4 linked regions of the Lepisosteus oculatus genome follow. The protein of the gene in region 2 purifies or fractionates together with the protein of the main gene of each other region. This does not show direct contact. Links are inferred from orthologs where the notes say so. Each region holds a gene or a part of one and is shown on either strand. Other genes may lie near its edges.

Evidence for each region.
Region 1: the proteins of psma5 (region 2) and psmg1 purify together in Homo sapiens (co-immunoprecipitation; 4 studies listed by BioGRID and IntAct, with this or other methods). This does not show direct contact. The link is inferred for Lepisosteus oculatus from reciprocal best matches to the Homo sapiens genes PSMA5 and PSMG1.
Region 3: the proteins of psma5 (region 2) and psme1 purify together in Homo sapiens (co-immunoprecipitation; 5 studies listed by BioGRID and IntAct, with this or other methods). This does not show direct contact. The link is inferred for Lepisosteus oculatus from reciprocal best matches to the Homo sapiens genes PSMA5 and PSME1.
Region 4: the proteins of psma5 (region 2) and psmf1 purify together in Homo sapiens (co-immunoprecipitation; 3 studies listed by BioGRID and IntAct, with this or other methods). This does not show direct contact. The link is inferred for Lepisosteus oculatus from reciprocal best matches to the Homo sapiens genes PSMA5 and PSMF1.

What each region holds. Positions count from the first base shown.
Region 1 is NC_090700.1:6,524,471-6,532,763, reverse strand, and holds the start of psmg1 (proteasome assembly chaperone 1), read right to left. Parts: upstream 3,090-8,293; 5' UTR 2,988-3,089; coding exon 2,866-2,987; intron 2,020-2,865; coding exon 1,922-2,019; intron 1,370-1,921; coding exon 1,227-1,369; intron 960-1,226; coding exon 897-959; intron 480-896; coding exon 281-479; intron 1-280. Other genes in the region: mpzl1l (myelin protein zero-like 1 like), read left to right, coding at 6,573-6,642. UniProt on the Homo sapiens protein: Chaperone protein which promotes assembly of the 20S proteasome as part of a heterodimer with PSMG2.
Region 2 is NC_090700.1:39,863,788-39,871,401, reverse strand, and holds the start of psma5 (proteasome subunit alpha type-5), read left to right. Parts: upstream 1-4,360; 5' UTR 4,361-4,375; coding exon 4,376-4,392; intron 4,393-4,981; coding exon of another isoform or gene 4,982-5,056; intron 5,057-5,186; coding exon of another isoform or gene 5,187-5,204; exon of another isoform or gene 5,205-5,410; intron 5,411-7,614. Other genes in the region: sypl2a (synaptophysin-like protein 2a), read right to left, coding at 755-950, 1,626-1,753, 4,982-5,056, 5,187-5,204. UniProt on the Homo sapiens protein: Component of the 20S core proteasome complex involved in the proteolytic degradation of most intracellular proteins. This complex plays numerous essential roles within the cell by associating with different regulatory particles.
Region 3 is NC_090699.1:14,406,728-14,414,577, forward strand, and holds the start of psme1 (proteasome activator complex subunit 1), read right to left. Parts: upstream 3,119-7,850; 5' UTR 2,991-3,118; exon of another isoform or gene 2,902-2,990; 5' UTR 2,863-2,901; coding exon 2,824-2,862; intron 2,075-2,823; coding exon 2,042-2,074; intron 198-2,041; coding exon 135-197; intron 1-134. UniProt on the Homo sapiens protein: Implicated in immunoproteasome assembly and required for efficient antigen processing. The PA28 activator complex enhances the generation of class I binding peptides by altering the cleavage pattern of the proteasome.
Region 4 is NC_090711.1:642,518-650,588, reverse strand, and holds the start of psmf1 (proteasome inhibitor PI31 subunit), read right to left. Parts: upstream 3,229-8,071; 5' UTR 3,120-3,228; coding exon 2,991-3,119; intron 2,636-2,990; coding exon 2,483-2,635; intron 2,001-2,482; coding exon 1,918-2,000; intron 1,234-1,917; coding exon 1,039-1,233; intron 1-1,038. UniProt on the Homo sapiens protein: Plays an important role in control of proteasome function. Inhibits the hydrolysis of protein and peptide substrates by the 20S proteasome. Also inhibits the activation of the proteasome by the proteasome regulatory proteins PA700 and PA28.

The sequences.
Region 1 (8,293 bases), about 33 Mb from region 2:
ACTTCACAGAAAACACTCAGCTGTAACAGGTGCTTGTCAAGGCTCTGGTCTGTCTGGCGTTGGCAATATCACTAACAGTCCCCTGCCTATTTTAGAACAGTCCTCACCTTTCCCAGATGTTCTTGAGGGAAAATAATACCACAGAAATAACTAAAAAAGTGAAAGACTAATTTATGATGAAGCTGTCGCAGAAATGATTATTTCTGAAGAAAACCGGAGGGTCTCGAATCGAGCAGGTGTCTGAGGATGAATGGTTGGAAAGCCAGGACACTGGCAGTACCTGCAGCAGGAAGGCAGGTGACGATGTTGGGCTGCTCCATCATGGGGCAGTGCACCCTGTCTTGATAGGCGCTGGACTTCAAGGCTCTCAGGAAGGGCACTGGACTGGCGGAGACGGGATCTGCCGTTGTGTACTCGGACACAGACGCGTCCGACAGCACCAGCACCTGCAGGCCTCTCGTCTGGATAAAGCCGAAGACCTGCGGACCACAGGGGTACAGAAAGAGTCTCGCAGCCCCCTCTTCACCCGCCTGCTAAGGCAGAGGTTTCACAACACCCCTGTGGAAGCCTGAGTAAGTGTTTTTCCACTAGCTCTGGCATGCGTTCCTGAACCACGCGCGAGTAAACACTTTTAAATGGCTTTATCTGCCTTCTGTCATCAGAGACTGAGCCTGAATAACCTGCCTTCAGACAAGACCGTTTCAAATCCAGCTCTCAGTCAGCAGAGGGTCTATGACTACCATACGTTAGGTCTGTGAAACTCAACTGAACTAAATGTCTGATTGGCTAGACTGGCTACACATGGCTTAAGACTCACTGTCATCTCGGCTCGGAAGCAGGCTTAGAACAAACTCGCGTCGATGTCTAAAATAAATAAAAAAACGTCATTATCTTACCTTTTCAGTCCACTGGAATAACTGGTCTTCAGCTACAAAGCACGTGCACAGACATATTAGAACCTTATAACACAAAAGAGAGGAATGCAGAAACGTAAGTGAATGTTACCTGACCTACAAAAAACCCTGTCTTCTTAACTTTTTTAGTTAGCTGTAATAAAACACAGTACATTTTCACCCATCTACACCACACCATGTAGACGCCTGACAGTGCACTTCGACTGCACACCCTGACGCTATTTCCAGGGCCTTCCTCAAAGCTCGGCACACAGCTCCGAAGTCACACTATTCCTGCCAGCCCTCGGGATCCGTCGGAAGGGGGACACTCACCGAGGAGCAGCCAGCCGACCTGTAGAACCTACAGGAGGGCTCTCCCGCCGGCCGGCTGGAGCCCCTGCTCCTCTCGTTCCACAGGCTGGCCGACCCCACTGCCTCCCAGCTCCCAGAGCTCAGGACAAAGGCCGAGAGAAACCCTGCAGGAGAGAAGAGACCGCGTGAGCCGAGCCAAGCCGCCCAGCCTGCTGCTTTCCCAATCCGCCCCAACCCCCCTCCGCTTGTCCGTGCTTTGGCACAAACCACTCCTGCATCGCGACACCGATCCCGCTCACGATGAATCAAAGAGCCGTCTGCACTCACGAGCTACGGTGGCGGACAGTCTGAGACGACACTGCAGCGTACAAAGTTAGTCTCATACCCTTAGCTTCCAGCGTCCAGACCAATGCAAAATCTTCAACAAAGTTGAGTCTAACAGGGTGGATTGAAAGTAAATGATAATATCAACAACTGCAGACAACAGCTAGTGGGAAAACTGCCTAATATAACGCTAGAGCAAGACATTTCGTTTTTGGTATTGCGTCAGGAGTCACAGAAGCTATTCATATTCATCATGTAGGCCCGTATACTGGAACCTTGATTTAAACTATTTATTTCTGCTTTTCAGCTAAATGTGCCCATCAGAAAAACCCACCAGAAATAGGTGCATTAACTGGTTTAAGCAAGAAAGAGCTGTTTTGCCCTCTGCTTACCTGCTGCATTGTGTCCCACTCCTATGATAAAGTCACTGCACTGAAAGGGTTTGTCTGTTGACTTTGTGATCTCTGAGCTCCAGTGAACATGGACTTCTCTGCCAAAGCAAAAGACAACAGAAACTGTTGGTTACTGCAGCCAATTTAAACAGGAAAGTTGTTCATATTATTCCCTCTCGGGCTGTAGGTCTGCCTTGTGCCCTGTGCTCATGGGATAAGCTCTGGGTTGCTACTACCTTTACCAAGAGTCTCTCTGATGATGGACAGATGACCTTTTGAGTTCTGACATGCCTTTGAACATACAGTAGCTTTGACGGATTTCATCGTCCTGTTCTTAACGCGTTTTTATGCAAGTCGGTTTGGAAAAGGCTGTAAACTCAATATCGATCACTTAAATGTAAGTTAATTTTTATTCTATGCGCCCGGGACCTCTGTTCCTCGACACGCAAAATCCAGCAGGTATTGTGGTTTCACTTAAATCACGGGTGGGTAAGAACCTGGAACAACCGAGGTGCAATTTATAGTTCCATTAAATCAGCTACGTTTCATGGTCCTCAGACCAGCCATTAAGAGATATCTGAGGAGTGTGGTAGAAACGACCAGAAAGAACTGAAAGCGAAAGTTAAGAGACCTCACATGTGAGATATATGAATAAAACAGCACAAAAACAACACGGACAAGCACCGTACTCTGCCAAAGATGCTCCCCACAAAACACCTAACGTACATTGAAAAAACATCCATATTAACGTTATTGTAAACCTCTGTCCATATCGTGTCCCTATGTTAGAATTATCATACCAGCGGTTTACAGAATAGCACAGTTTGTGTAAAGCTGTACCAACAATGTAAAATCGTAAAAACACCATGCAGAAGTACGCGTTTTCTCTTTGAAAGGGGGTGTCCTTTATTTCATTTTTTTTTTCCTACGTAGGTATCATCTACCTCTTGTTTTCTATTTCTCTCCGGATTTGCACATCCTCTTCGCTTTCATCTTCTAATTCATCTTCATCCTCCTCCACAGCTCTGGAGTACACAGACAAGACTTCCCCGAAAAAGGTGGCCATCAGGAGGTTTTCTGTGTCAACACAGCAATGCGCGTTTTTCCCACAAAGTCACCGCTTGTTCTAACTTCCCTGCTCAACTCCGAAGGCGGATCTGAGCAAGTAGGCCGCTGGGCTGTGGCCAATACCACACCAGGAACAGCAGAGGGCGCTGTCCGAATGGCTGTGGGTAAGTCACAAATTATACCATAGAAACAAATCATGATAAAACCGATGAGACGTGTTCTCTCATCTCCTCTAGTGGTTCTCTAGTGCGACATAGCACTGAACCATTAACGATGTTTTAAAATATTAATATTAAATAATATTTAAATAATTCAAATAGTAAGATTCAAAAATGAACAATTAAATAAAATCCTGCCAGTTCTCTGATGCAATGGTGTTAATGTTAGATATATTACAGATAAACTGATGCTTTATAACATGAAAAAATTCAAGTATTTTATGTCTGACTGTTTCTGCCCTGCTTTTCTGGTTTCTCTTTGAATCCTGTTGTTTTTCAGCGGTGGCTAATTACAGAAAAATGTTTTTTTTCTTTCCGTTTACATAGCGTGTTACTGCCTGATAACTTCAGATTCCGCATATTTGTAAGTAAATCCTGTTTTCATATGTCGTGTGGAGTTGTGCCCAGTGAAAGGCAAATCACCACATCACTGTGAAACTTGTCACTTGTCACCTGACTCCTAAAGTTACCACCTGATTGCTAATAATACATACAATATTTTCCTGTAAAAAAAACACAGATAACACGAATACTCGAGTACGTGTAGACGACAGACTTGTGCGTTTGCAAGCTCTGCACACACAAGCCCAAAAGTTGTTTTCTGCAGAAGATCAGTGGAGATAGTAACCTACTATTCCTGAATGACTAAGGCGCTTTCCTACAAATGAATTGGCATCAAAGCAGTCGCAACCAACTGTATTCCAACTGTATACATCCTGGAAAAACGAATTCTTCTGGGATACCATTTGTTGACAGAAAGATACGATAACGCCATTACAGAGCAAACAATTTCCCCAACTAATACTTCGCTGGAAGACCAACCCTTCTCATTAGTCGTACAAGCGATATATATCTCTTGTTTTGCTGTTAGTCAAAATGTTTTAACAGAAATTTCATCTGATTTTTATTGATTGATTCTTAACAAAATTGTCTACTTGTATGTGACCTGTTTTATCGGTGCATTTTTCTGTGAGAGACTTTTACACTTAAGGTAGTAGCCTTTATAGTTTGACTGAACAGCATATTTATATACATTTCCTTTCTTTAAGGCTTCGTTTTTGGTCATTTTGGTTTTGGTTTCGACAGCAGCCAGAAGACCTAACTTTCACATCTCTCGTCAATTACGGCTACTGCCCAGCAGAGGGTAGCGCGTCGTCTTGTTGGGCTGGCTCGGTGTTCACCGCCGTGAAATAAGAAAAGATAACACCGAATTGTGTTTTTAATCACTCGGGCGCTTGCCTATTGCACAAACCACGATGCACAGATACAAGCTGTCTGCTGTAAAAGTCTAGTTTTACAGTGCTGTGAACCACGTACGAATGTTGCATTATTTGCAGCGCAGGGACACATTTGCAACAAGAGTGGTAAGCATGTAATCGGACATGTTGGAAGTCTGAGTTCCTCGAGCAGGCTGTTTTATTTTTTGAGACTATAGGGAACAGAATACGTCAATTAATACAACACATGCACACGTCACCGATTAAGGAGTGTGGTTCAACGACTAGTCGCGTAGCGGCTCGTTGGTCTAGGGGTATGATTCTCGCTTCGGGTGCGAGAGGTCCCGGGTTCAAATCCCGGACGAGCCCGTGTCTATTTTGAAACACTTTGTCATCTGACTTTTTTTGTTTTAAACATTCCTATATTTGGGCATTATTTCTTTCATTTCGTGTTTTAAGCATTTTGCGATTTTATTATAAGCAATTGGTTTATGTGTACCAACATTTAAACGATTACAGGTATAGCAAAAGGATACTACAAGTGTTCGACTGACCTCGAACTGTTTTGGTTGAAACCAAATTTTACATTCACCAGCTTTCCTGAAAAAGGAAACAAAATAACCGGGCTCGTCCGGGATTTGAACCCGGGACCTCTCGCACCCTAAGCGAGAATCATACCCCTAGACCAACGAGCCGCTTGCGTGAAGTCCCTCACCCAGTGCTTGATCTCAATTTCCACGTTGACACGTTTTTTTTTTTCTTGTATTCGTGGTCTGTTTTAAACATAACCTTTTTTTTTTCAGATTTTGCCTTGGACGCGGTTCTTGCGTAACTCTTGAACGAAGTACCACTCAAAACAACAAAAAACGCCCGGACTGGTGTGCAGGAGTGCACTAGAGTTTGTTTCTCGACGCGGTTTCTTGTCGTTAAATCGAAAAAAAAACCAGTCCCACCCAACAGAGACCCACAGGAGTAAAATTTATATTTTAACTTTTTATTTCGACAGCAAAATAAAATACAATACAAGCAAGAGTACATATAACATAACATAACAATATCATCGTCAGGAGAACATATTACAGTACCTATACACATTATGAATAAACGTTTAAACAGAATAAAGATAAGATCCATGCTCATGTTTTTACATTTCGAAAAAGTCTGCAAGTACGCCTTTACATCTATTTACAAATGTTCATAGGACAACATAGGAGTCTTCCCAGACCCTTTCACTTGACATAAATAATAACGTGCAGGAATAATAATTAAGTCAATTACAAAGGATATATTCGTGTTATTTCCAATTCAATTGAAGCTTAACATGATGTCCATTTCTTAAAAAAAAATCAATATTAGCTTCTTCTTTTAACATACGTTTTCAATTCAGTCCCGAAGGTTTTTACAATAGGACACAACCAAAATAAACGTTGAATGGTATCAAAAGGCACAGTTATCATCTAGATTAATTTTAAATCTCTGCACAAGGGTCTTTCCGGCTTCAAAGTCCTCATGCTCACCTATAAGGCTCTGTATGACCTGTCTGATACTATCATCCTACTCCCCACCTCACAACCCTCACTCAACCCAGTCTTCTGATTCTGGTCTCCTATCTGTCCCCCCAAAACCCATCTACACTCGAGGGGGTGACAGGACCTTCCCCTGCTGCGAATCTGGTGTGTTTTTTATGGTTATCATTCTGTCAAGCGCTTGGAGAAGCCACCTTCAAGGGCGCCATGCGAAATAAAGTTGATTCTAATAATTACTGTACGTAAATACTATTGACTCTGCACAGCAGTACCGCCGCTTGAGCCGCGGCAGCAGTGGGGCTCCGGCGGAGGGCTGCAGGGCCTGTCTGATTGGCAGGCCGGAGCGCCTATCGGGCTCCCCCAGTCGGTCACTCCCCAATCCCGATCCCACTCCTATCCATCCGGGATCCCAATCAGTGCCGGGCACTGTCCGGGATCTCGGAGGAGGAGGAGGAGGAGGAGGACACGGGGGTGGGCCTTCCTGTTGCCATGCAGGAAGAGCGAGAGAGAGACGGGGAGAGAGGAGCGACTGTTGTTGTGAAAGGGGGGGAGACACACACACACAAAAAAAAAGGGGACGGGGCGCAGCGTTTTGGACTCGCGAATCCCTCCCGTCTTGGCCATGGAGAGCAGGGGCTCGGACCCGCGCCGTGCTTTCGCCTGGATCCTCGGCTCGCATCTTCTCTTGCTCGGTCAGTATCGGCGCAGGTAGAGTATGGCGGGGAGGGAGGCAGGCAGATGAGAGAGCAGGAGGGAAGAATGCATCTTAACAAAAAAAAAAATTCACGGACGAAGAGGTGGTGATGGGGAGGAGGATGAGGGTAAATGTCTGTTTTAGCGGTGGGCCTCCGGCGCCTGGTAGCTTCGATTTCTTTATCGCTTTTTAAACGCGTTTTTTTTTTTCCGCTCCCAAGGCTCACATTTTTTGCCGGATGAAATGCTTCCGTTTAGTCACGGACTCTCCGCTGGCTGGTTTCAGCCGCCGGAGCCGATGTGTTGTTGGCTGCTGCTGCACAGGTGAGGCAGGTACAGCCGCTGCCCTCCCCCCCCCCCGGCTGAACGGGCAGGTCCCCCGGCATTTTCACTTCTTGGAAAACGAAAGATTCACCTCGATCAAAACCCGAGCTTTGCCGTTTACTGTGGGTGTGCGTACATGATTAGAGGTTACCCCCACCGCTCAGTAGCAACACAACAGGCAGTGTTGGACGGTGCAAACGGTATTTTAAACGTTTGAGACGTGTCTTTGCTAACGAAAATGAAAAGACATACTCTTTTATGGGCGAGAGCCTTGCAATATGGGTGACTCATATGGTACTGGCCTGAAAGGAATCAGGTCTGTGCTTCCGATATATATCTCTACATCTGAACTGGTGCTGCGTCAGTTTCTCGGCGCAAGAAGAGTCCCTTCTTTCCTTTTACTACGGTTTCCATTAAACTTGTTACGTGAATTGAGCCCGCACACATGGATCGACTTTGTAAGGAAAGCTATGATTTTACTTTAAATGGACACAATAGCTGTAGTTCTCTAAGCCAGCTACCCACCCTTTTCTTCTGTAATTATTATTTCGCGGATTCTCAGAAGAAACCCGCCCGTCTCTAGCATCAGTAAATGCTACAGCTTATTTTTAGAATGGTGTTGCCTGCTGTTGGTCTACTGAGGCTTTATAAGCCCGTAGGTCACATGACATCCTGTGACAAGGTGTCTGTAAACCTTACACCCGGCCCAGAGATGAAAGTAGCCTTTATCCGACTACCCAAAAGCTAGCATCTTTTCATCAAAGCTAACTTTGATCAGCGCAGAGCTACAGTCTGCTGGGAAGAATACAGTGTATTTGTCAGGGAAGAGCACGAGCTTCTCTGATCATTTCTGCACGTCTTCTGCAGTTTCCCCTCACAGGATCAATAAAGTATCAATAACAGTGGTGCTGTGACTCATACACCCCTTTCCTGTGCCGATTCTAGAAGGTTAAGTTTCGCAAAACGTTCACTTGGATCGGCTAAACTAAAGATACAGGGGAAGGTCAGCATCTTATGTTCTTTTTCGGTCATGTATAGGTTTACATTAAGAAAAGGGGGTTTTCTTGAAGTTCGTAGTCTGCCTCAAAGAGCTGTACAGTAAACTCATTTACAATCCACAGTGTGCATCATGTAGTCTTTAAACAAAGGTGCAATTTCAGGTGAGCTTTCAGTTCAATTCAATTCAACTTTATTGTCATTAAACACAGGTGCATAGTATAATGAAAAGTGTTTCTCATTAGTCACTCAGGTGCAGTATATAAATAGGACAGAAGATAAGACAATAGACAGTTACACAATAGCAATAACAGTAACATGTGATAACAT
Region 2 (7,614 bases):
TTGACACTCCAGACCTAGGAAGCTGGGAATAAGAAGTGCAATGTTTTTAATAATAATTAATAATAATAATTGCTTACACTTATATAGCGCTTTTCTGGACACTCCACTCAAAGCGCTTTACCCCTCCACCACCACCAATGTGCAGCCCCACCTGGATGATGCGACGGCAGCCATAGTGCGCCAGAACGCTCACCACACATCAGCGATCAGTGGGGAGGAGAGCAGAGTAATTAAGCCAATTTATAGAGGGGGATTGTTAGGAGGCCATGATTGATAAAGGCCGATGGGAAATTTGGCCAGGACGCCGGGGTACACCCCTACTCCTTTCGAGAAACACCCTGGGATTTTTAATGACCACAGAGAGTCAGGACCTCAGTTTTAAGTCTCATCCGAAGGACGGCGCCGGTTTACAGTATAGTGTCCCCGTCACTATACTGGGGCATTAGGACCCACATGAGCCGCAGGGTGAGCGCCCCCTGCTGGCCCCACTAACACCTCTTCCAGCAGCAACCATAGTTTTTCCCAGGAGGTCTCCCATCCAGGTACTGACCAGGCTCACACCTGCTTAGCTTAGTGGGTTGCCAGTTGTGAGTTGCAGGGTGATATGGCTGCTGGCATTTTACTGGTTTTGGAGCACTTCAGGCCCTGCGAGAGCAGGGCTGGGTTGTGGATGGACTGGCTGGGGGGCCGAGCGGGATGGGGGGCTTTGGGGACAAGGCGCGGAGCCCCCGTGGGGCGGGGCCTGCTCACTTACCACGATGGGCCCACGGCTGGTCTGGCGGTACACGTGCTGGTAGCCCAGGTACAGGACGAGGGTGGCCACACAGTACAGGAAGCCGAAGACGCCGACACAGACGAAGAACTCCGCGGAGGAGGAGTAATCCCCCTGGAGGTACAGCTTCTCCGTACCGTTCTTGCAGTTGGTGACCTCGTACTCCACTTGACTCAGCCTGCGGAGCAGCAACAGCGCAATCAGTCAGGCACCTCGCTGCTCATTCTGCCCGTTTTACTGCTAGTTTTCTGCCTGGATACTGGGAATCGCTGAATGAAATGGGTTGGTAACAGAGCAGTCAGCGTTGCTGCTCCACAGCCCCCAGGTCCTGGGTTCAAGTCTGGCCTGGGACTCTGCCGTTTGTGAATAAGATAAGAGCAGCTGCTATAAAACTGCCTTTGTGGATGTGTGCCCTTGTGTCCTGGCAAGCTCTGAATGCTTTGATAAACAGAACAATAACTCAAATGGATGTTCTAAAGAGGTTACAAATACTGTCACATTGATTTTCATTGTTCTAAAAAAAAAATGTAAATGGAGATTTTAAAATGTGCCACAGTAGGATACGTATTTGATACTGTCTAGTAATATAACATGACTGGCATGACATCTGGATGTCAGGTGGGCAGGAGCTGGGCAGTATCGCATTGCAGAGGAGGCGAACAACACAGTATCACCCACTGAAGGTTTCAACCATTGCCAACTACCTGCAAAAGGAGTGCCTGTTTGTGAACACTTACACCCAACAACTGAGCCGAGGGCATGGATAACGCAATCCAAACACCAGGAAGAGAACCAGCACAGTCATTCCCCACACCAGCACGGGAGGTGTTCAAGGCGCAGTTCAGGAACCCACCTGAAGGGATAGCCGAAGCTCGTGGTGATGTTTTGGATGGGACCCGGTCTTCCAGATGTGCACAGGACGGTGACGCCTGTGGTTCCGGTGTAGCCCCCCGTCGTGGCGAAGGCAAAGATCGTGAAAACCTGCAAACGAGGAAGCGGCTCGGCTTTCACTCGCGCCCCAGTGCTGCTGCCGAACGACCGTGCCCTCCGACCCCTTCCCACTCATTTCACAGCTTCCTGCCCAGAGGCAGGGAAGTCACATGCTCGCTCTGAAAAACACTGCATGTCCCGGGCCAGGAGACCGAGCGCTGGCTACTCAGCACAGACTGGGCCTCGGGCACGTGGGAGGGGCCTGTCGACAGCTCCACCGAGAGCTCTGTGGAGGGGGAAAGTTGTAAGAAGGGTTCACCTAGTTCCCTTGTTTCTTCTCTTCTTAGAAACAGAAAGAGAAGAAGCAGCAAGGGAGATGCAGCCTGTCTGAATACCACTCTCACCAGATATGTTTCAGCAACACTCTAGGGGCTGGAGCAATATGTGCAGATAAAACCCCACTTTGGCACATGCCTGGTCTTAAATTTCCAGTGACTGTATTCTCAACGACAATTAACTGCGTATCTTTTTCTGACACAGCAGAGGACTACCATGAACGCTCAAGCTTCTCAGAATGGCTGGAACACAGTAAATGCTGTGCGAATCTCTCATTCCTGCAAGCAGTGGGAATTCATTGTAGCAAAGGTCTATCAAGTTACAGATTAGCCTCTGGAAGCGGACTATATGACTTCCTGCCAAAGTCCTTGCTCAGATCCGCTGGAGTTTTATGGGCTGACCGAGGGGCCTGGAGTTTTCACTGCTGCAACTTGCACACCTGGAGCACTTCAAGCCTTTCATGTCCCTGTTTTAAAAAAAAAAAAAGACTCCTCTCTTCCTCTCATCCCCCATCCCCAGATCCTCCCAAGTGCTCCCTCCCGAACTCTTTAAATAAACTCTCCCAGCCAGCACATTCCTTTGTGATTCAGCACTATTAATGGCTTTGTATTCCCACAGGCTCCCTGGGAAAAAAAAACACGCAGTACATGTAGACACCTCAAGAAAAACTCAAACTTAAACAAACCTGCTGCCCCCCTCCCGCTAAGGCAGCACCAACACAGAACATGTGCGTTCGTTTCTGCCTCGTCAGCGTCATAAAACCCTGGACGTCCAGCTCCACATGCTCGGCTCGCAGCCGCCAGGCCTGTCTGGCCCTGTGTGTGTGCGCCCAGCGGGCGGCCCAGCACGCCAGCTCCAGCTGCCTGCCAGCCTGGCAAGTCCCCCCCCGGTCCCGGAACCAGCCGCAGACGGGGGGGCCAGCCCCGTCACCCGCCAGCCTGTGTCCCCGTTAGCCAAACGCAAAGGAACTGGAGCCGGGCCTCCGACTGCAGAGCAGTGGCTCGGTCCATCCCGGGTTTTACCACCTGCGGCCTCAGGCCAAACGGCGCACTCCGAGGCACATCTGCATAAACTGCTCAGGCCTCGCACCCTGGCGTGTGATCTTTGGTTGGAACAGGATTCAGCTGGTAACAGCGCATACACATCCCTTCCCAGCACAGCAGGCCCTGCTCTCATGTGTGCCGAATCCGACTGCACTACTCTTTTTTTTTAAGCCTTTTCTCAGCCGCTTAGCTAAGATCAAGTGTAGTATCGTTTTTTTAACCTGGCCTTGAAAACAAGCGGTACAGTATAAAACAACAGACATTCATTTACATATATATTCTTGGCCATCCCTTCGAAAAGGCGTAATGAATGAATTTATCTTTTCACGGTGGCACAAGCAGACCGACCCTGGTGCGTGAATTTGCGTGAGCGTGTTTCTCAGGAGCCCGCAGACTCCAGGCGGCGAGTCTGCGACGGCGCAGGGGAGAGCCGCACACTCCGCGCCACGCCTTCCGCACACACGGAGGCCGCCCTGACCGGATTACCAGCCCGCTCTCCGGCTGCAGAGGAGAAACACTCTTCCCCTGCAAACTCCTGTACGGTTTGACACTTGCCTTTTGTACAAAGCTTTATTAGAAGCTGAAAATGTTGGTGTAGTCCCTTTATACAGCACCCCTGTGAACACACCTGGGCTGCACAATGTGAACACACAGCAGCCACGCAGCTAATCGCAACCCAGCCCGGATAATCTCATGCAAAACCTGGAAGAGCAGTTCCGCTGCTCCGGGCTCTGGCCCTCCCTCCCTCCGAACAGTCAGGACCTATGACCAGGCGAAGTACTTCACTGTCAACTGGAACAGTTTACTCCCTCAATATTTAGCATTTCGGTTAAACCCAACGGCTTCTGATTTAGTGGCCAACTTCCTTCATTCTCGTGTTTTATTTTTAAACACCTGACCGAGGAGAAATAGGGGTAGCGGGTATGAGGGGTAGGGAAGACGGACTCCTAAACTCTTCCAAGAAACCGAGCGCCGTCCTAGTAGAGAAGCTCTCTTTCAAGTGACAGAAAGAGGCTCGCACCTGTGGCGTGAAGTCACGGTCAAGTGCGTTTCGTCTTCCTGTTGGTAACAAATAAATAAATAAATGGGCCAGTTTCCGCCAGGTCACGCCGTCCACAGGGCATAGCCGTTTGGGAGCTGAATAACCCGGTCCTGTCCGGTCCGGTCGAGACTGGCACCGCAACGCTTCTGGTAGACCCCTCGAATCCCACGGGAAACTGTGTCGCTATTATCAGGCCAACAACTTCAGATGACCCTGCATCGTCATCTTCCTACAAGCACGCCGTCATGACAAATGAGCTTTGCGACAAGGTGCGTTTTTTCGGTATCGAGGGCGACTCTTTGGCCTTGCAGACAAGCCCGCGTGTGACCCCACGATTTACTTCTTAATTATAAAGTACTTTACATCTTTACTGTCACTAACTTGCAACCACCCCGTCTTTAACTATACACTTACCCGACAGCATGAGCGACACACGTTTCATAGTAACTAGCTAGAGACCAAAACGTAAACCTGTTCCATCTCATCGTTACATAGAAACATGAGGAAAAATAAATCAACACGGGAGAAACGTGCTTAAAAACGAATTCAAAAGCGGAGCGGGGTCCCAGCGCCTCGCGAAGGTTTCCCAAGCTGGGACTTGGGTGTTGCCTTGGGGAATCATTATTGTATAAATCTTCACGCTTCGGGTAGCAGACTAGCAGAAAAACACGGTCTCATCGCAGCTGGTGCCGAAGCAGCGCTAACATCCACCCCAGATCCGTGCAAGTGCATGAGTTAACACTGATTAACTTGCACGGAACCGAAAGGGAGAGTGCACCGGGCTAATCGCTAGCTGCTCCACCGTGTTTCGTTTCTTCCCTCAATAAAAAAAGGCCGAAAGCATGCACAGGCGCTTACCCACTCCAGGACTCGGATAAATCCCAGGGGCTCTTTTAAAGGTCCGATGTCCAGGCTGAATCCCGTCATGACTTTCTAGAAGTGCGAACAAGCAGGAGAGAGGTGTGACAACGCGAAATGGGACGACAAGCGCAGCGCGGAAACCAGCCGCTGCGAGATTAGTGATCAAAACGCAAATGTAGTTTTTTTTTCCAAGTTAAGTTACCTGAGCTACCGCCTCCATTGCGTTATCTCTGTGAGTTTTTTGCGAAATTACTTTTCTACGGGCTCAATTTTTTTCTCTTCCTGCAATCAAACCGTTTTGTTGAGAAATGTTTTTTTTCTCTTCCCAAGTGCTGTGAGTCAGCCTACCCTTGACCGCCTAGTTGCAAAAAAAATCCTCCTTCTCTCTCTCTCTGAACTTTTCTCTGTCAAACTTTCTGACCCGACACCCCCCGACCACGTGACCCGGCTCTTAAAGGCGCACGGCGTCACGCGACGCTCCTGAGCAGTCAGGAGTTTGCAATGGGATGTTGCTATCTTTCACAGAGTTGTTATATGAATAGTAATTAAAACAAACGCACAGAGGGCAAGGACGCCGATATTATTTTACGTTTCAGTTAACATAAACGGCGTCTTGAAACGCACACTATTCGTGTACGCGAAATTAGAAGAGCTTCACCACATTGGCACGGAAATTAAGAAAAAACGAGTTTGATTTAAACAAATGCCACCACGTCTTCAAGATTTCTGTTTAAGATTGCATATCTAACATTTCTACGTTATTAACACAATAAAATGCAGATGAACACTTTCTAACTTTTTCTACATAACTACAAGTTCTGTAACTTTTACATCAATGGGTTGTTTCAATAACAATAAAAGTGTATTTCGAGCTGCATATCCATTTAAAACATCGACAAAAGTCTAATTTTAAAACGTTCTCAGGCTGCATTCTACTTAAATGTTATTTTAAACATATAATGCAATGGTATTGTTATAATCCAGTAGATTGTTTTACAAATCCAGACTTGACGTCCTTTAATTCCATGTGCTATTCAGGAATTATAAAGCAGAAACTGACACAGTGTTAACAGCCAATACAAACCACGTACAACTTTTTAAGAGTTGAAAGAAAATTTAGAAGCCTCCTAAAAAAAGAATATTTGAAATCATTTCCCCGCACTTAAGAACGTGGCTGGAGTAAATACCCAGACACCCAGTTGTTCATCAAGATCAGGATTGGTGTAGATGTTCCTGAGTAGTTTACTCTGTTCCTTGAAGGACCAGTGTTTTTTGGTTTTGCACCAGAGCTCTCAGTTTTACAGATGGACTATTTAAGGGTTTAAATGAGGAGCAGCTTCACTGTGTGTTGCCTGCAAAGGATCTATCCATCCATCCAACCATTTCCTAACAGCTTCATCTCATTCAGGGTCATGGGGAGCCATAGCCTATCCCAGCAGGCAACAGGTGCATGGCAGGATACACCCTGGACAGACCAGCCCATCGCAGGGCACAAAGGAACCAGTAAAGGTTCATTACTCAGAGGAATGTAAAAGGAAAGAAAAAACACCTTCAGTCTTCAGGCCTTCTTCAAGTATGACCTTAAGGTTTTGACACCTGAAGAAAGCTTGGCAGCCAAAATGCTTTGTTTTATTTTACTTTTTCAGTGTGACATTAAACTTTACTATGGATTTTATAGGTAATCTTAGTCTTCTATTAAGTGACTGTTTTGGTTAATCAACTGTAACACACCTCAAGAAAAACCCTATACTGTTCTGGTACCCTTTTGCCTGACCGCCCCATCATCTCATACTGTCGACTGCCTAATCTGTACAACCTTATTGTTCACAGCTCCCTTGACTGCCCTCAGCAACCATCCACACCAGACACTTTTCCCCCGCAACAGAATCTGCTGCAAATATATATCCACTATCACTTCCATTCAAGGCCTCTCTGGACAGATGACATATTGTTCTTCCTGCAACCTTGTTTACTCCATCTCTTGCAGAAAATGCCCAGACATCTACATTGGCGAGACAGGAAGGAGACTGGGAGACCATTTCAGGGAACATATCAGGGCTGTGAGGATCAAAGATCCCTCCAAACCTATAGTTTCACATTTCACCTTTAACAGCCATACTGATCTCTCTGTCTGCATTCTCACAGAGAAGGACATCCGAAACTAGAATCACACCTTACGCCTTCTCTCAATGACAGACTTGTTTCCTTTCCACTCCTGTCTTTTGTTCTCCCATACTTTATCAACTGCCCGTTTTCCTCTCTCCCCCACACCTGAAGAAGACTCCAAGCCAAAATGTTGTGTATCTTTTCTTTTCAGCTTTGAATTAACCTTTACTTGTTCCTTTGCAGTCTACACATGCTGACGCAGCTGCCTACCTGAACGTGTTCCACCCTATACTGTACTCGTCTGACTAAGAAACGAGATCAATGATTAGAACTGATATTGGGTGGCACAGCGGCGCAGTGGTTATTATAGCAGCCTCGCAGCACTGAGGTCCTATGTTAAACTCTGGACAAGGAGTGCTATCTGTGTGGAGTTTGTACGTTCTCCCCTTGCTCGCTCTGGTTTCCTCCCACAGTCCAAAAAAATACTGGTAGGCTAATTGGCGCCTGGGAAAATTGGCCCTGGT
Region 3 (7,850 bases), on a different chromosome or scaffold from region 2:
ACACTGTACTGTACTGCAGTATAACACACTATACTGTGCAGTCGCACAGAGCACAGCAGTGGGCAGGGAACTCCACTGCGCTGTACCACACACTGAACTGCACCAGGACACACACACAGTCACACAGTCCGTACCAGCAGCAGGGCCTCCATCTCCGCGATCTTCTGGGGGAAGAAGGAGGCGACCAGATTCTCGGCCTGCGAGGAGAGACACGTCAGGGCAGCCCGTGAGCACGCTCCTGCAGGCAGATCCCCCACAGCAGCGCGCCACCCGACCGGCCGGGCGCGGAGGGGCCTGCTCGGACCCCAAACCGCTCACATGGGCTCCAGCTCCAGCTCCAGGGCGCCCCCAAGCCCTGGCTCTCCCTCCCCCAGGACACCCTTTCAGGAGTAACCTGACTGCACCGCAGCCTGGCTTCCCTTCCCAAACAGCTTGACCACACCACCAGAGAGTCTGACCACACCACCAGAGAGCCTGACCACACCACCAGAGAGCCTGACCACACCACCAGAGAGTCTGACCACACCACCAGAGAGCCTGATCACACCACCAGAGAGCCTAACCACACCACCAGAGAGCCTGATCACACCACCAGAGAGCCTGATCACACCACCAGAGAGCCTAACCACACCACCAGAGAGCCTAACCACACCACCAGAGAGCCTGACCACACCACCAGAGAGCCTAACCACACCACCAGAGAGCCTGATCACACCACCAGAGAGCCTGACCACACCACCAGAGAGCCTGACCACACCACTAGAGAGTCTGACCACACCACTGGAGAGCCTGACCACACTACCGGAGAGATAGACCACACCACCACACAATTTTTGTTCTGTCTCTTCGGAGGCCTTCTGGGGCGCCTTGCTCAGCTGTAGCACGTTTACACCCCAATTTCCAACTACTCTGCCCTCACCAGCGCCCACCCCAGGACTTCACACAACTAGGCAACGGAGCCATCCCCCAGTCTGGGTGCACCTCCCTCTGAGAGCGACAGTTCCCTGAACAAAACACTTCGCCAGCCTCTCCTGTCTGCTGGAGGGGTGCAGGAGTCCGGCTCGCTGGGGCCCACGCTGCCCCTCTCTGAACCGCAGGAGCTCGACCACACGACAGCCCCACGCTGCCCCTCTCTGAACCGCAGGAGCTCGACCACACGACAGCCCCACGCTGCCCCTCTCTGAACTGCAGGAGCTCGACCACACGACAGCCCCACGCTGCCCCTCTCTGAACTGCAGGAGCTTGACCACACGACAGCCCCACGCTGCCCCTCTCTGAACCGCAGGAGCTTGACCACACGACAGCCCCACGCTGCCCCTCTCTGAACCGCAGGAGCTCGACCACACGACAGCCCCACGCTGCCCCTCTCTGAACCGCAGGAGCTCGACCACACGACAGCCCCACGCTGCCCCTCTCTGAACTGCAGGAGCTTGACCACACGACAGCCCCACGCTGCCCCTCTCTGAACTGCAGGAGCTTGACCACACGACAGCCCCATGCTGCCCCTCTCTGAACCGCAGGGGCTCGACCACACGACAGCCCCACGCTGCCCCTCTCTGAACTGCAGGAGCTTGACCACACGACAGCCCCACGCTGCCCCTCTCTGAACCGCAGGAGCTCGACCACACGACAGCCCCACGCTGCCCCTCTCTGAACCGCAGGAGCTCGGCCACACGACAGCCCCACGCTGCCCCTCTCTGAACCGCAGGAGCTCGACCACACGACAGCCCCACGCTGCCCCTCTCTGAACTGCAGGAGCTTGACCACAGGACAGCCCCCGACACCTGGCGACAGCTAATGCACAAGTCTACAAGTGACACACAGTTAACACAACACAGAGACAACACACAACACACAATTAACACACAACTATAACACCCCACGAACACTGCACACAGCTAATGCACAAGTCCACGTGACCCACAGTTAACACAACACAGCAAAAATGCACACAGCACAGACGCGACACACAGCTGATACACAGCAGCCGAGCAGACAGCGGGGACTCCTGTGACCTGCCATGCGCTCTGAGTGGGCTCACCTCTTTGGACAGCTGTGCACAGAATCCATCGACCTGCAAAACACAGCGAGACACATCATCGTCCAACTCCTCACAGTTCACTCTCTCCCCTCTCCAGTCCCTCTCTCCTCTCCAATCCCTCTCTCCTCTCTCCTCTCCAATCCCTCTCCTCTCTCCTCAGTCTCTCCCCTCTCCAATCCCTCCCCTCTCTCCTCAGTCTCTCCCCTCTCTCCTCTCTAATCCCTCTCCAGAGGGTCTCCAGACCCCTCACAAACCCTCTCCCTCCTTCTCTCCACTCTCCCTCCTCCTCTCCTCTCCAGACCCCTCACAACCCCCCTCTCTCCTCCTCTCCACCCCTCTCTCCTCTCCAGACCCCTCACAACCCCTCTCTCCTCCTCTCCAGACCCCTCACAACCCCCCTCTCTCCTCCTCTCCACCCCTCTCTCCTCTCCAGACCCCTCACATCCCCTCTCTCATCTCTCTCTCCTCCTCCCCACCCCTCTCTCCTCTCCAGACCCCTCACAACCCCTCTCTCCTCTCCACCCCTCTCTCCTCTCCAGACCCCTCACAACCCCCTCCTCCTCTCTCCCAGTCTAGGAGTCAGTGTTTTGACAGGTGTAGCTCAGGAGGTGCAGACACAGAGAGTCGGATTACACTCGCACACTCCGAGATCTGTCTGTCTCTCTCTTTCCTAGACTACTGCCCCCTCATCTCTCAATAATAATAATAATAATAATAATAATAATAATAATAATAATAATAATAATAATAATAATAATAATAACAACAACAACAACAATAACCTGTTTCTTCGTCTCTGGCTTCATTTCCAGCGGATTCATCGCGGTGCGGTACTTGAGTAAGGTCTCGTCCGGGCTTTGCTGCTGGAAACACCGATTACTGTCACGACTATCGCTATTATCACGACAGCAAGTTCACCTGCGTTACAATTGGCTATCGTGCAATTTACCGTGCGATTATACCCCCTTCGAAGGTGAATGTTATCTGAAGATGTGCGCTGCTGCAGGCCTCGACAGACACGGTTAGTCAGCACTGTCGAAGTGAAACCGAAAGTTATGGAGAAACCCGAACATACGAACTAACAGAACAAAAAACTCAACTTCACTCATGGGGATTTCCTTGTAGTCTTCTAGCCCCGGCCGTCCCGGTTGACTGAAGCGTCGAAAGCGGCGCAAAGGAACTACAACTCCCATGCCTAGCTTCGTCCGTATCTTTAACTTTCTAAATCATGTGCATATTATACAGGTATTTATTTCTTCAGTAATAGTCTTTTGTGATCTTATGCCAACCCGCATTGATTTAGGAGCAATATTTATTTATAAGAGGCTGAATAATCACTTTTCGTGTTACGTGCGGGGGGAGAGTCTCTGAACTCGCTCCGGTACCCGAGAGCGTCTCGGCGGCTCGCTGCTGTCGTGACGTCACGGCGACCGAGGCACCCTGTGACGTCCCTGTCCCCACAAGCTCCGACGCTTATTGTACTGTTGAATAGAAAATTTGGAAAAAGAGCATTTATTTAAAGAAAATGTATAAGTCATTCATGGTAAATGTCACATTCATAAATCAAAATGGTCTAATAGTACTCCCCTTTTTAGTGCTTTTGAAGTGGAGCTGAAACACTTTTTAATTTCTATAATAAATTTGAGAAATAATGAAGCAAGGAAAACACATGATATATATAAAAATACAATTTGATCACATCATTTACTTCACTACCTCTGGCGGTTAAATGTTTTTTTTTTCTGTTTGTGTTTTTTTCTCTCGTACCTGTCTGTTTCGGATCCTATGGTTGTAGTTGTATTTGTAAATTCTTTATATGTTTAATAAAAAACAAATAAAAAAGGCTCCGATGCTACTCCCCGCTTCTAACGCTTGCACGCTGGAGATGAGCTATTGCTTAAGCCATACACTATAAAGACGCTGAGAACATCGTAAACTCGAGCTTAAGATCGATCGTTAATTGACGAGTGTTTCCCCAAATCCGTCGTTACTGAAGTAGCACGTTAAACCCTTCGCACTCGACGTGCTCCCCGACCCGCTCGTTCATCACTAAGGGCTTCTTAAACTGGCCTCCTCCTGCCCACCCTGAGCGCCAGAGATCCCAGACAGAGCACCGTCACTTCACGGCAGGGGCATCCTCTGGGAATACAGGACACTAAGAGTTTATATGAAGGAGTTTGATATTTTGCTGTACCATGTAAGAGGAAATTTGGAAAACGAACATTTATTTATACAGTAATGAATTTATTAGTCAAATGGGCCAATAATACTCCCTCCTTTAGTACCTTTGAGGTGGAGTTTAAACTGGATTTAAATTCCATAAAGAACGTGCAAAAATGCTAAAGCAAGGAAAACATTTGATATTTGTAAACATGTAGCTTGGTTACATAAATATTCACCTCATTCCCGCTGGCAGTTAATTGTGTTTTTGTTCTGTTTATGTTGTCTGTCTTTCATCTGTATTTCCCCTCTACCTGTTTGTACGGGAGCGGCGAGGGCGCATGCCCAGAGAACCCCAATCCGTTACAATACACTTCATTCAAAAATAAAAACGGCTAAGTCTTATACTTGACTAGATGATATGATTGCCGCGATGAAATGCAGTAATGCCTTATTTAAGTGAAATCATTGGGTCTCACATGTATTTATACTGTTGCGCCACGCAGGGCGCGTAAGCAGGCGCACGCCAGGGCGGACTGAGAACAGCGCCCGGGGGCGGGACTGCGGGGCTGTGTAGAGCCGGGCGGAGGCTGGGAGACACTCTCTTCCCTTCGTGTGTGTGTGTGAGAGAGTGTTAGAGTTCCTCTCTCTCCCCCCTCAGCCCCGGGCTCACTCTGGACCCAGCCCCTGTGTGTGTGTTTGTGTTTGTGTTTGTGTGTGTGTGTGAGAGAGTGTTAGAGTTCCTCTCTCTCCCCCCTCAGCCCCGGGCTCACTCTGGACCCAGCCCCTGTGTGTGTGTGTGCAGGGCTGTAACCCCTGTCCCTGTCCCTGTGTGTGTGTGTGTGTGTGTGTGTGTGTGAGAGTGTTAGAGTTCCTCTCTCTCCCCTCAGCCCCTGTGTGTGTGTGTGTTAGAGTGTGAGAGTGTTAGAGTTCCTCTCTTTCCCCCCTCAGCCCCGGGCTCACTCTGGACCCAGCCCCTGTGTGTGTGTGTGTGTGTGTGTGTGTGTGTGTGAGTGAGAGTGAGAGTGAGAGAGTGTTAGAGTTCCTCTCTCTCCCCCCTCAGCCCCGGGCTCACTCTGGACCCAGCCCCTGTGTGTGTGTTTGTGTTTGTGTTTGTGTGTGTGTGTGAGAGAGTGTTAGAGTTCCTCTCTCTCCCCCCTCAGCCCCGGGCTCACTCTGGACCCAGCCCCTGTGTGTGTGTGTGCAGGGCTGTAACCCCTGTCCCTGTGTGTGTGTGTGTGTGTGTGTGTGAGAGAGTGTTAGAGTTCCTCTCTCTCCCCCCTCAGCCCCGGGCTCACTCTGGACCCAGCCCCTGTGTGTGTGTGCAGGGCTGTAACCCCTGTCCCTGTCCCTGTGTGTGTGTGTGTGTGTGTGTGTGTGAGAGTGTTAGAGTTCCTCTCTCTCCCCTCAGCCCCTGTGTGTGTGTGTGTTAGAGTGTGAGAGTGTTAGAGTTCCTCTCTTTCCCCCCTCAGCCCCGGGCTCACTCTGGACCCAGCCCCTGTGTGTGTGTGTGTGTGTGTGTGTGTGAGTGAGAGTGAGAGTGAGAGAGTGTTAGAGTTCCTCTCTCTCCCCCCTCAGCCCCGGGCTCACTCTGGACCCAGCCCCTGTGTGTGTGTGTGCAGCGCTGTAACCCCTGTCCCTGTGTATGCACCTTTCCTCGTTTCTCGTTATTAAATGTGTTGTTCAACCCCATTCCTCGAGCCCCACGCCCGCTCCGTTCCCTACCGAAACCCGCGGTCGATGCCATATTTAAAAGTCCAATACCGTTTTATGTTCTGTCGTGATTGATGACGGTAAAGCTTAGACCTGCTTCTTTTCAAACTTGATTATTGGTCCTGTATTTGTCGAGTTGAGTGCCAAGCTTGGTTAGTTCATTGTTACAGATGTCGTGTTAATAAGACCGATTAAAATGGAGTTCCAATAAACCCAATAACTATTAATAACAGCAGTATTTTCTCATGAAACACTGATTCTTAACAGTGGCAGCGCGCTAAAAAATATTGCTTTAAATCGAAGACGCCGTGCAGGATGCATACACTCTCCACACAGTCAGTCTTGGTTTTCTTTTACGGCACGTCAGTCATTTATTTTCTTTTCTCTTAGAAACAATAAGTGTCCCATTTTGTGCCTATCGATACGCTTTCGCTTGAATGGCTGTTAAATTATGATGTCGTGTTTACTTCATATTCCTTTTCACAACTTAATTTCAACCCACTGAAGGACCAAAACCGACACCATATAATGAACGTATCGTCGATCGATTGTTTTATCAGCAATTTTGCTAAGCGACTTCAGGGGCGGGGTGAGCAAAGAAGTACTTTATACTCGCTCTAAAATGACCGATTAAGGGGGGGTTTGGGGAAACGCGCGAAAAAGTAGTACGTACATCGTAATGCTGCTCGTTAGTCTCTATGATTCAGCGTTTTCGGGGAAACTCACCCCAGATTTGTAATTATCTCCCCAGGACCAGGACTGGAACCCCTGACCTACAAGACTGGGGACTGGGGCTCCCCAAGACCAGGACTGGAACCCCTGACCTTGTGAGTGACCCTGTTTCGGACCCTAGCACCTGCGGCGGTGCCTGCGACGCCGTGTCTCACCTGCAGAGCGGCAGGGCGCGCGTCGTGCCGCGTGTCACGTCTTCACAAGCTGCAGCGCGCTCCGGGACCGAGCTGTAGTTTGCCGGGTTGTCCACCAGGTGGCAGAGGCGTCACCCGGCCACGTCGTTCCGGGACACCGAGCGACCGGACGTGGCTGAAGGGGAGTGATCTGGAGATAACACGTTGCCACTGATGAATTAGGTCAAGACTGCAGAATCAGATAATTCTCTTTCACAAAATAAAGAATTTCTGCTTCTGTTATTTGAATTTATTATTCAGATTTTGGCTTTGCGCAGTTAATCACCTGAAATGATCAACTAAAATATTCATGTTAAATGACCTCGCTTAACAGACTCTCCACTCTTTGGTACCAACACACCTTTTCCATGTCAGCTACTTCATGGAAGATTATCTACACTCTCTAGAGAATTCACTTCAGTCCCTTTAGTGAGCAGGATTCACTACATTCCCTCTAGTAAAGAGGATTCTCTACATCCCTCTAGTGAGAGAATTCACTACATTCCCTCTAGTGAGAGAATTCACTACAGTCCCACTAGTGAACAGGATTCTCTACAGTTCCTCTAGTAAAGAGGATTCACTACAGTCCCTCTAGTGAACAGGATTCTCTACAGTTCCTCTAGTAAAGAGGATTCTCTTCAGTTCCTCTAGTGAAGAAGATTCACTACAGTCTCTCTAGTGAACAGGATTCTCTTCAGTTCCTCTAGTGAAGAAGATTCACTACAGTCTCTCTAGTGAACAGGACTCACTACAGTTCCTCTAGTGAACAGGATTCACTACAGTTCCTCTAGTAAAGAGGATTCACTACAGTTCCTCTAGTAAAGAGGATTCACTGCAGTCCCTCTAGTGAACAGGATTCTCTACAGTTCCTCTAGTAAAGAGGATTCTCTACAGTTCCTCTAGTAAAGAGGATTCTCTTCAGTTCCTCTAGTGAAGAAGATTCACTACAGTCTCTCTGGTTAACAGGACTCACTACAGTTCCTCTAGTGAACAGGATTCACTACAGTCTCTCTAGTGGAGAGATTCCTGCT
Region 4 (8,071 bases), on a different chromosome or scaffold from region 2:
ACACTTATGTTTAAGTGCTTATTAAATAGAAAAGAATTTAAATCTCCTAACCTGAATTGTTAAAATCATTTTAACTCAATCCACTTTAAGCTACATCCATCCATCTCATAACGGCTTAATCCAATTGAGGGTTGCGGGGGAGCCGGACTCTATCCCAGCAGGCAACGAGTGCAAGGCAGGGTACACCCTGGACATGACTCCAGTCTATTACAGGGCACACACAGAGACACACTCACCCCTAAGGCCAATTTCCCCAGAAGCCAATTACCCTACAAGCATGTTTGTGGACTGTAGGAGTAAACTGGAGCATCCAAAGGAAATGCATGCAAACAAGACAATTGAATCCAGAGCCCTAGTACTGAGGCAGCAATGCTAAACACTGCACCAGTTGAAAATGTACTGAAAATTACTACTAGCCGGGAATTGCCCCAACACACTCAGTTCACATTCACTACATCATCAGAGCAGGCTATAAAAACTGATAATTGTTTTTTTTGGACTTCCATGTGCCATACAGGAAGATTACAAACAGTGGAATTTCAGGCTCCAAAAGAGCCTTAACGGAGATGAGGGTATGTCTCAGCCAAATAGCTTCTTCACTCCAGGAAAAAGTGTCTAAGAGCCGCTATCAGTAAAGGCTTCATCAATCAAACCATAGTCAGAGAAGCCCATTTTGTTTGTCTCAGCTCTGGCCAGAGAAGCTTGTAAACCACAGAGTGATTACAGGCTCCTAGTCACTCTGCCTCACTGCAGTATGCGTCAGCTCAACAGGCCTGCAGCCCTGCACAAGCAGTGTTACACAGAGCTCGACGAGCCCAGGAAGACTCAGTCACTCCCATGTGTAAAAGCACGAGTGCAAACAGGCTTGTGACTAAGGCAGGGAAATTGGATACTATACCGTTTGCTGTTTTCTCATCAGCACTATGGAATGGAGATCGAACCGTCATTTACAGTGCATGTTTTTTTGCAGTTTTGTACAGTTTAATAGCTCAGCCTTTCGGAGCAACGATTGTTGTAGCTCCCATCCTGTGGCCCTACCAGCTGGGCTGCCGGTCAGAACGAGGAATTCTCTGGGGGATCCGGAGGGGGTCTCTGTCGGGCCACAAGCATGGAGGACTCTCCCTCAGGCCCTTCTTCTCTGCCTTCTCACTGGGCTTAGTCTTCTGTTTGGAGGCTGAAGGAAACAGCCCTGATTGCACCTTCTTCCTCAGCTCTTCAGTGTTCTTGAACACGCTGTCAAGACAGGCAGTACATCACAACCAACACCACATCAGCCCATCACCTGCTGACACAGCTCCTACGCTCCTTGCTGAAGAAGACTAAACATTTCTACAAATGTACTACAAAGGGACTAGAAACACTCACACCATCTTAACAATGAACACTTTCCTGGATTGGCAACTTGTTTTGTACTCACCACACTTTGCTGCTGAGACCAGATTTATCAGGACACTTTGTGCAATTCTCCAAAATAGATAAATGCACCAAAGACCAGCTGCATGTTAATATCAACATTCTTGCAACAGGCAATTCACAATCATAGAAAAACATATTTCTATTTGTAGCACAAATTAATAAAACCATGAAAAATACCATGCTGGAAAAATACCAAAAAGTTAATGTTTAAAGTCCTGAATAAAATTGTTATTGATATTGGATTTGCTACAATTTTGTCATTTAATGTGTCTTGAGTGCAGGGATAAAAACAACTTCTGCTTGATTCTTGCTGCGAAATGAAGTGATTTTGATTTCTTAAAACGAGTTGCCAATCCTTTCATAGCCCAACTCTGAGTCATTAGATGGCAGAGATAAGAGTGTCTGACAGGCAATAAAGAATCTCACTTAACACACAGAGTTCAGTCCTGCATGACTCTGCCCTTTTAGCACAACACGACAGCCTAGAGACGTTTGACCCACCTCTCGAATACCTGGAGACTGTCTGCATGCACATAATCACCAAGGCTCACTGTCAGATCAGACACACGTCCTGAAGCTGACTCCTGACACAACAAAGACAGAACAGAAAAAAAAAACCATAATACTCTCCGAAACAAAGCTTCTCAATCCTTTCCTTTCAATCAATTTCCTTTCACTTGGATTTTATTCCATTTGTCTCCACAATATAATGGAACCCTGGGATTAATTATTTTATTAATTAGAACTTCCCAAATTAAATAAGATAGAAAACTGTTTTCCAGTGGTCTACAAATAAGAACCCATTTCAGCAAAAACAACTAGAGCACTCATTTCTGTCAGCTTGAGATTCGTTATGGAATCAAGTCTCAGGTCAGCTCATACCTGCTTGCGTGAAATCCTGTAGCTGCACACATTACTCAGTGCAAGAGTACGGTAACGAGTTACAGACAAAAGCCTTCACTACTCCTCAAGAAGAAAAACACACAGAAGGATCAGCAAAGTTGAAGTAGCCGTGGTCAGTCAGCGAGTGAAGATACGCTGCAGTAACGCAGCGAGCCGCACGTACCAGGACGTTGAAGATGAGCGTGGTGTCCACGGTCACGGCCTTGACCAGCAGCTGCTCGCCGCTGTCGCCCGACTGGTACCTCAGTGTGTACAGCTCGCTGCTGCTGTTCCACCCCGCCGGCAGGAGCTCCGACTGCCGGTCGCTGCTACTCGGCTGCAACGGTCACACACCCATCACTACCCCACAAGTACGACAGGTATCAGACGGGCATGACGCACTTCGGAAGAGTGCCAGTTCTGTCTGCCAGACAACACCGCGCTATTACCAGTATTATATTTTCCACTCTTGTGTTTTTCTTGAATGGCGTCTACCGCAGAAGATGTGATCTGGAGAGCACATCAAATACCACCGCTTTTAAACATTTTCTAACCACATTTTGATACCCTCCCCACAATAGCAGCTGACAACAGTTACACCCCTAGACGCGTACAGCCTGCACTGTGCTCCATCCCTGAATGCGCATTGCTAATTCAGCCAGGTAAAAGTGAACAGGTACCTCCATACATACCTGGTCTCCGACGCCCAGGCATTTGTACCCGTTTTTCACTATCTCCCAGTGCACAAAACAAACCAGGGCATCCTGGGGACAGGCGATGCTGCTGACGACAGAATTATACAAGAGCTCCAAACCTGCCATCTTCAACGAACGTATGCACCGACACAACGCTGAACCGAAACACAAAAGCGAAACTGCCAGGCATCTGTTTTGCAGTCCATCGCGACTGTGTCCCACTGCGTTGAAACTCCGAGATGGAAACACTTCCTGTGTTCATTTTAGTTCCGCCCGGCAAATGTGGCATATTCAGTTTCTTTCAAAAACGCTTCCCGTGTGACTCGCAATATTTTTCCGAGGAAATTGCCAAACTTACCCGTAATAAATGAAATATAGCTAAAACAGACGTTATCCTGCTTGTACGTGCTATTTAAAATTTAATTGTTAATACATTCATTCTACCTGTGAACGCGCTATATTTTGTTTTCTCTTGTTCCTTGTTCAAAACATTTATTCTCTTTTTAAGTGATTTCAGATTAAATTTAAATTATATAAAAAATAATTTTCTCTCTTAATGACTCGTCATTTTTGCATGCAATACAGAGCAGAAACCACAGAGGGCAGTGTTCGCTCATGCAACGTTGACCTGCAGCGTTGAGCGTTGAAGTCGTGGTTCTGGAAAATGAGACCATATGTAATGCACGCTAAAGTGGTTTTATTTATATTTAAATATTAAGAAATACTGAATTTGTATAATTATAACGTATTGAACTTGGATATAATGAAGTCTCTATCAGTTTTGAAATTATTAAATTGTAGGATTTTTAATATGAATGCTTTTAAACCAATATTCATGACCACCATTAAAGCCGATGTCCTGCCTGAATTCCACCCTGTATCAGTGCGAACCAGCCCCACTTTTCACGCTTAAATCACCCGGAGAAACAGCTCCTCCCCCATCTCCTGACCTGCGGAGTTTTTGCCCGGGTGAGAACCGCACTTCCCCGGGTCCCGCCCCACCCGTGAATCGCTGTGGGGTCCTCCGGGATGAACAGTGAAACACGAACCAGAGGACGCAAGTGGGCATTATGTGAAAGCGCATTTAAACCCGAGAACCGGAGTCACTTCCTTACACGAACGCTTGTGGTGGTCTGGAACGAGCTATCCAGGCATGCTGTTGTTGTAGCTGATATTCCTTCATGAAAAAACATGGAATAGGATAACTACACCAGTTAGCTGCTGAGAAATAACAAATTAGATAAACAAGCTGAATGGTCTTCTTGCATTAGAAACGGTTCTAATGTTCTTCTCCTGCTATAGGATTTGTGGCGCCACATGGCTCATTGTCTCCCTCTGGTGGGTGGTTTTAGAAACGGTCAACAATGGAGTCTGCATGTCCGCGTGTGTCTCCTACCACCATCTACGGGCATGCAGGCTGGGCTGATTGGGGTCTATACATTTTTCAAAAATAATATTCTTTCCCCAATTTTAAAAAAACCTGGAGTATTTAAAATCCCTGATTTTTTAATATCTGGTAACATGGACTCTATAAATAATAAGGATGCTTTTTAGTGACTGGACATGTGATAGCTCAAGTAGGCAGCTGCATCAGCATGTGTAGGCTGCAAAGGAACAAGTAAAGGTTTATTATTAGGTCTTCTTTGGGACACACCCAAAGAAGGCTCTACAGCCGAAAGGTTGTGTTTCTTTTCTTCTCTTTACAGTATGGAATAAACCTTCACTTGTTCAGAAGTGATATGTGTATTCTTTGAAATAAATTAGCATTGACCCTTGCTTGAGGCCCTTTATTACACAGGCATGCTGTGACGGTGATTTAGTAAGACCAGAGTCTTGTATAACCAGTGGATACACTGGGGAGCTTGTAAGACACACAGGTTTTGTATTTCTAACCACATACTAATAAAGAAGACCCTGGGCATTCAGTATCATTAATGAAGCATTGAAGGTGCTGTTTATTATCACTATTTTTAGGACATCAGAGAACAACAGTGACACAGGGGCCCAGTGGAGTGCCAAAAAAGGGTTTAATTACATAAACAGGGATAATCAACACTATTAATGCAGGAGCTTTAGCAATGACATGAATGTCTGTGGGCTCTAGCAGTAACAGTGGTGCAAAGGTATCCACCACTGAAACAAGGTCAGTGCGCAGGGCTCCAGGAGCAGTGTCTCCTGCGGAGGGTGGGAGTGTGCATGTGTGCAAGAGGCCTGAGCTCCAGAGACCAGGCCATGACAACATGCACAATTCACGTACAACCCCCAAGCAGACAATAAGCATGTTACGTAAGTAACTGCAAAGTTACATTTCTCTGCAGTATAATCCTACGAAAGCTGAAAAAAAATCATTAAAGAATGTGGTTTCTAATTTCATCACAGGCTTTGCAAACTTTCTGAAATCTCATGGAATGATAATAGCAACATCTGTTTCCTCTTTCTGGGATATCTAAAACACATTTCACAGAAGTTCATTTACACAGCATATTCCCATCAACTTTGTCTTCTTTGTTTGCACAATTAATTAACAATATATGGTCTTACTAGATCACTTGCATGACTCTGCCAGCCCCCGTGTGCTTCTGGACATGAGGACAGGCAGGTCCTCCTTGACGTGTGGAAGGAGCTCTGTCTGGGAGACGGGTCCGGAGCTGAAGGAGGCCTGGCCTCCGGGATCCTGCCCCAGCGGAGCAGCCCTGGGGAGGGCGAGGTGACCTGGCACCAGCCCATCACGCCTTCCAGCCGTGTCAGAGCCTGGCTGCCGCCCAACTTCCTCTGCAACCGCAGCTGTGAAACATTGGCCATGTCCAGAAACCATGTGGATCCTCCACTGGCGTGCGGAGGACCTCCACATTTTGCTTTAGTCTGTAGGAGTCCTTTACCTCCTGCACACCTCTGACCACAGGAGCACGAGGCCAGGCAGCCTGGCACCAGGTTCACAGGTGCTGCGCGCATCATTGGAGCTGCAGCCCAGGACACACACAGTGCAGTACCATTAAAACTCTCCTGATGTTAAACATGTGTTCTGGCTAAACACAGTGATTCTGTGTTGTATATAATGGCACCAATGAGTGCCTGCTGAGTCACCTGATAGCGGCTTCATCGTGAGAATGGGAGACCCATCTAGCTCATTTGGTTGCTATTACCTCATTGCTCAGGTCATCCCATGATGAAAGCGAGGGTGTCAGCTTGTTCCAGACCCCTGAGACTCTTTGTGTAAAGTGCCTCCTGGTTTAGGTTCTAGAAGCACTTGCCTAAGTTGCCCCTGTGTGCTCTGCTTGGTGCTTCACTGTTGTCCAGGAGGATTTTGAATACTGAAATCTTTCACTGTGAGGATTTTGAATACTTAAATCTGGTCACTTTTTTTCTTTTTGAAATTAAAATATTTACTTCTTTTACCTTTTTGCTCCTTTGAGCCTGGGAACATACCTGCTCGATCTTCTCTGGCCTGATTTCAGAGTAGCATCATCGTTGTTGTAAAGTGGTGACCACAGTCGAGCCCAGTCTTCTACTGTACATGATGACTTACCAATTAAAGAGAGCCTTAAATCACACTGCAGGAGGGAGAGACAGTCCAGGACATGGTTTTAGCTTGCTTTTTAGTTAGAGTCGGGCTTAAAATAAACCAGGCACTTAAGGCAGGACAGAAACAGGTTGAGTTAATAGGTATGAAGTCAGCCTTTCTCATGCCCTTGTGCAGTTAAAGCTGCAAATTTTTTTCAGGCAGTGAGCAGCTGGCGGAGGATCCCCGGCTCCCCGAAACCTGACCTGCTGGGCCTTCTGCTCTTCTCAGGCAGTGTCCATTTTCACCTACTTCCTCTGTGCCTCTGGACACTGGAGCACGACGGGTGACAGCAGACGGCGGCCTGCCACAGTAAAATGAGCAGTCCTGAAACAGAAGTGAGGCGCAGGCGGCACAAAGCCAACCCCACTGACACCTCCACCCCTACACAGCACAGCCAGCGCTTCGCTCGCCAGCCGGAGAGCCGAGGGAAAAGAAATGCCAGGAGTCGGACTATGACCATGCCTGAACTGCTGTTCCAGAGCCCTCACGCGGAAGAGAAAAAGAAAGTGAAATAAAAGGTTTCCCCCCCGAACATTTTTGTCCCTGCGAACCCGGTAATGAAAACACATGTGCGAATCGTTAAGGGTTTAGAATGTAATGTAATATGTAAATAAAGTAATTCTATATTTAGGACGGCACTTTTTTTGGGGATTTTACTGATGTGAATCCAGCTGTTATCTAGTGGTTCAATAACAAACATTATGTCGGATCTTGAAACTATTTGTTTTTTGTAAACAGTACAGTAGCGCTAATCTTCACAAGGCCTTCTCTTCACTGACTTGAAAGAGTTGAGTCAGAGGCAGCCGAAGCCCTGGCCATATTGATATCATTAGAGTGGATCCACTCCTCTCAGGCTCTCGGGCCTGTGCCAGAGCAGCCTGCCTCTCTGGAGCCAGGACAGGGATGCTCTTGGCATTGCTTTCCCGGCCCTGGGTCTGCCTTTGTTTTTTTTCAGTTCTCTTCTCCCAGCGTATCTCTCCTCCGAGGGACCTCACAACCTTCAGAGAGTCTTCAGCTGAGTGTTATTGGGTGCTACTGTCTCTTGTGTTGCACCGGTGTCCATGGTTCTGTGTAAGGACCTAGCTATCTAATGATCTGACCCTGTTTCCACGGAAACAAGGAATGGGGGCTCCATTTCTGAGCTTTGGTTTATTTCCGCTGGGTTCAAGGGTCAGGAGCACTTCTCACAGTTTGTGGGTCAGAGCACAGCAACTGGCTTCACATTATTATTAAATATTAACAATAAATAAGGTTTATCCCAACCAAAATAAGTTTCTGGCCACCTAGCAAAAAAGGAAAAGGTGATGGTGTGTGGATGATAAAATCTAGAACCACAGAAAAGCTGTAGTGGAAGGTCTATGCCCTATTTTGTAACTGAAATTTACAAAAGCTGATTTCAGCTGATGAGGAGTAAGAACATCTATGTGATTGTATTTTTACAATTTTCCATTACTATGTCATCTCTTGCTTGATTATTAAACATTTACAGACATGTTTGGAAAATAAATGAGGAGCC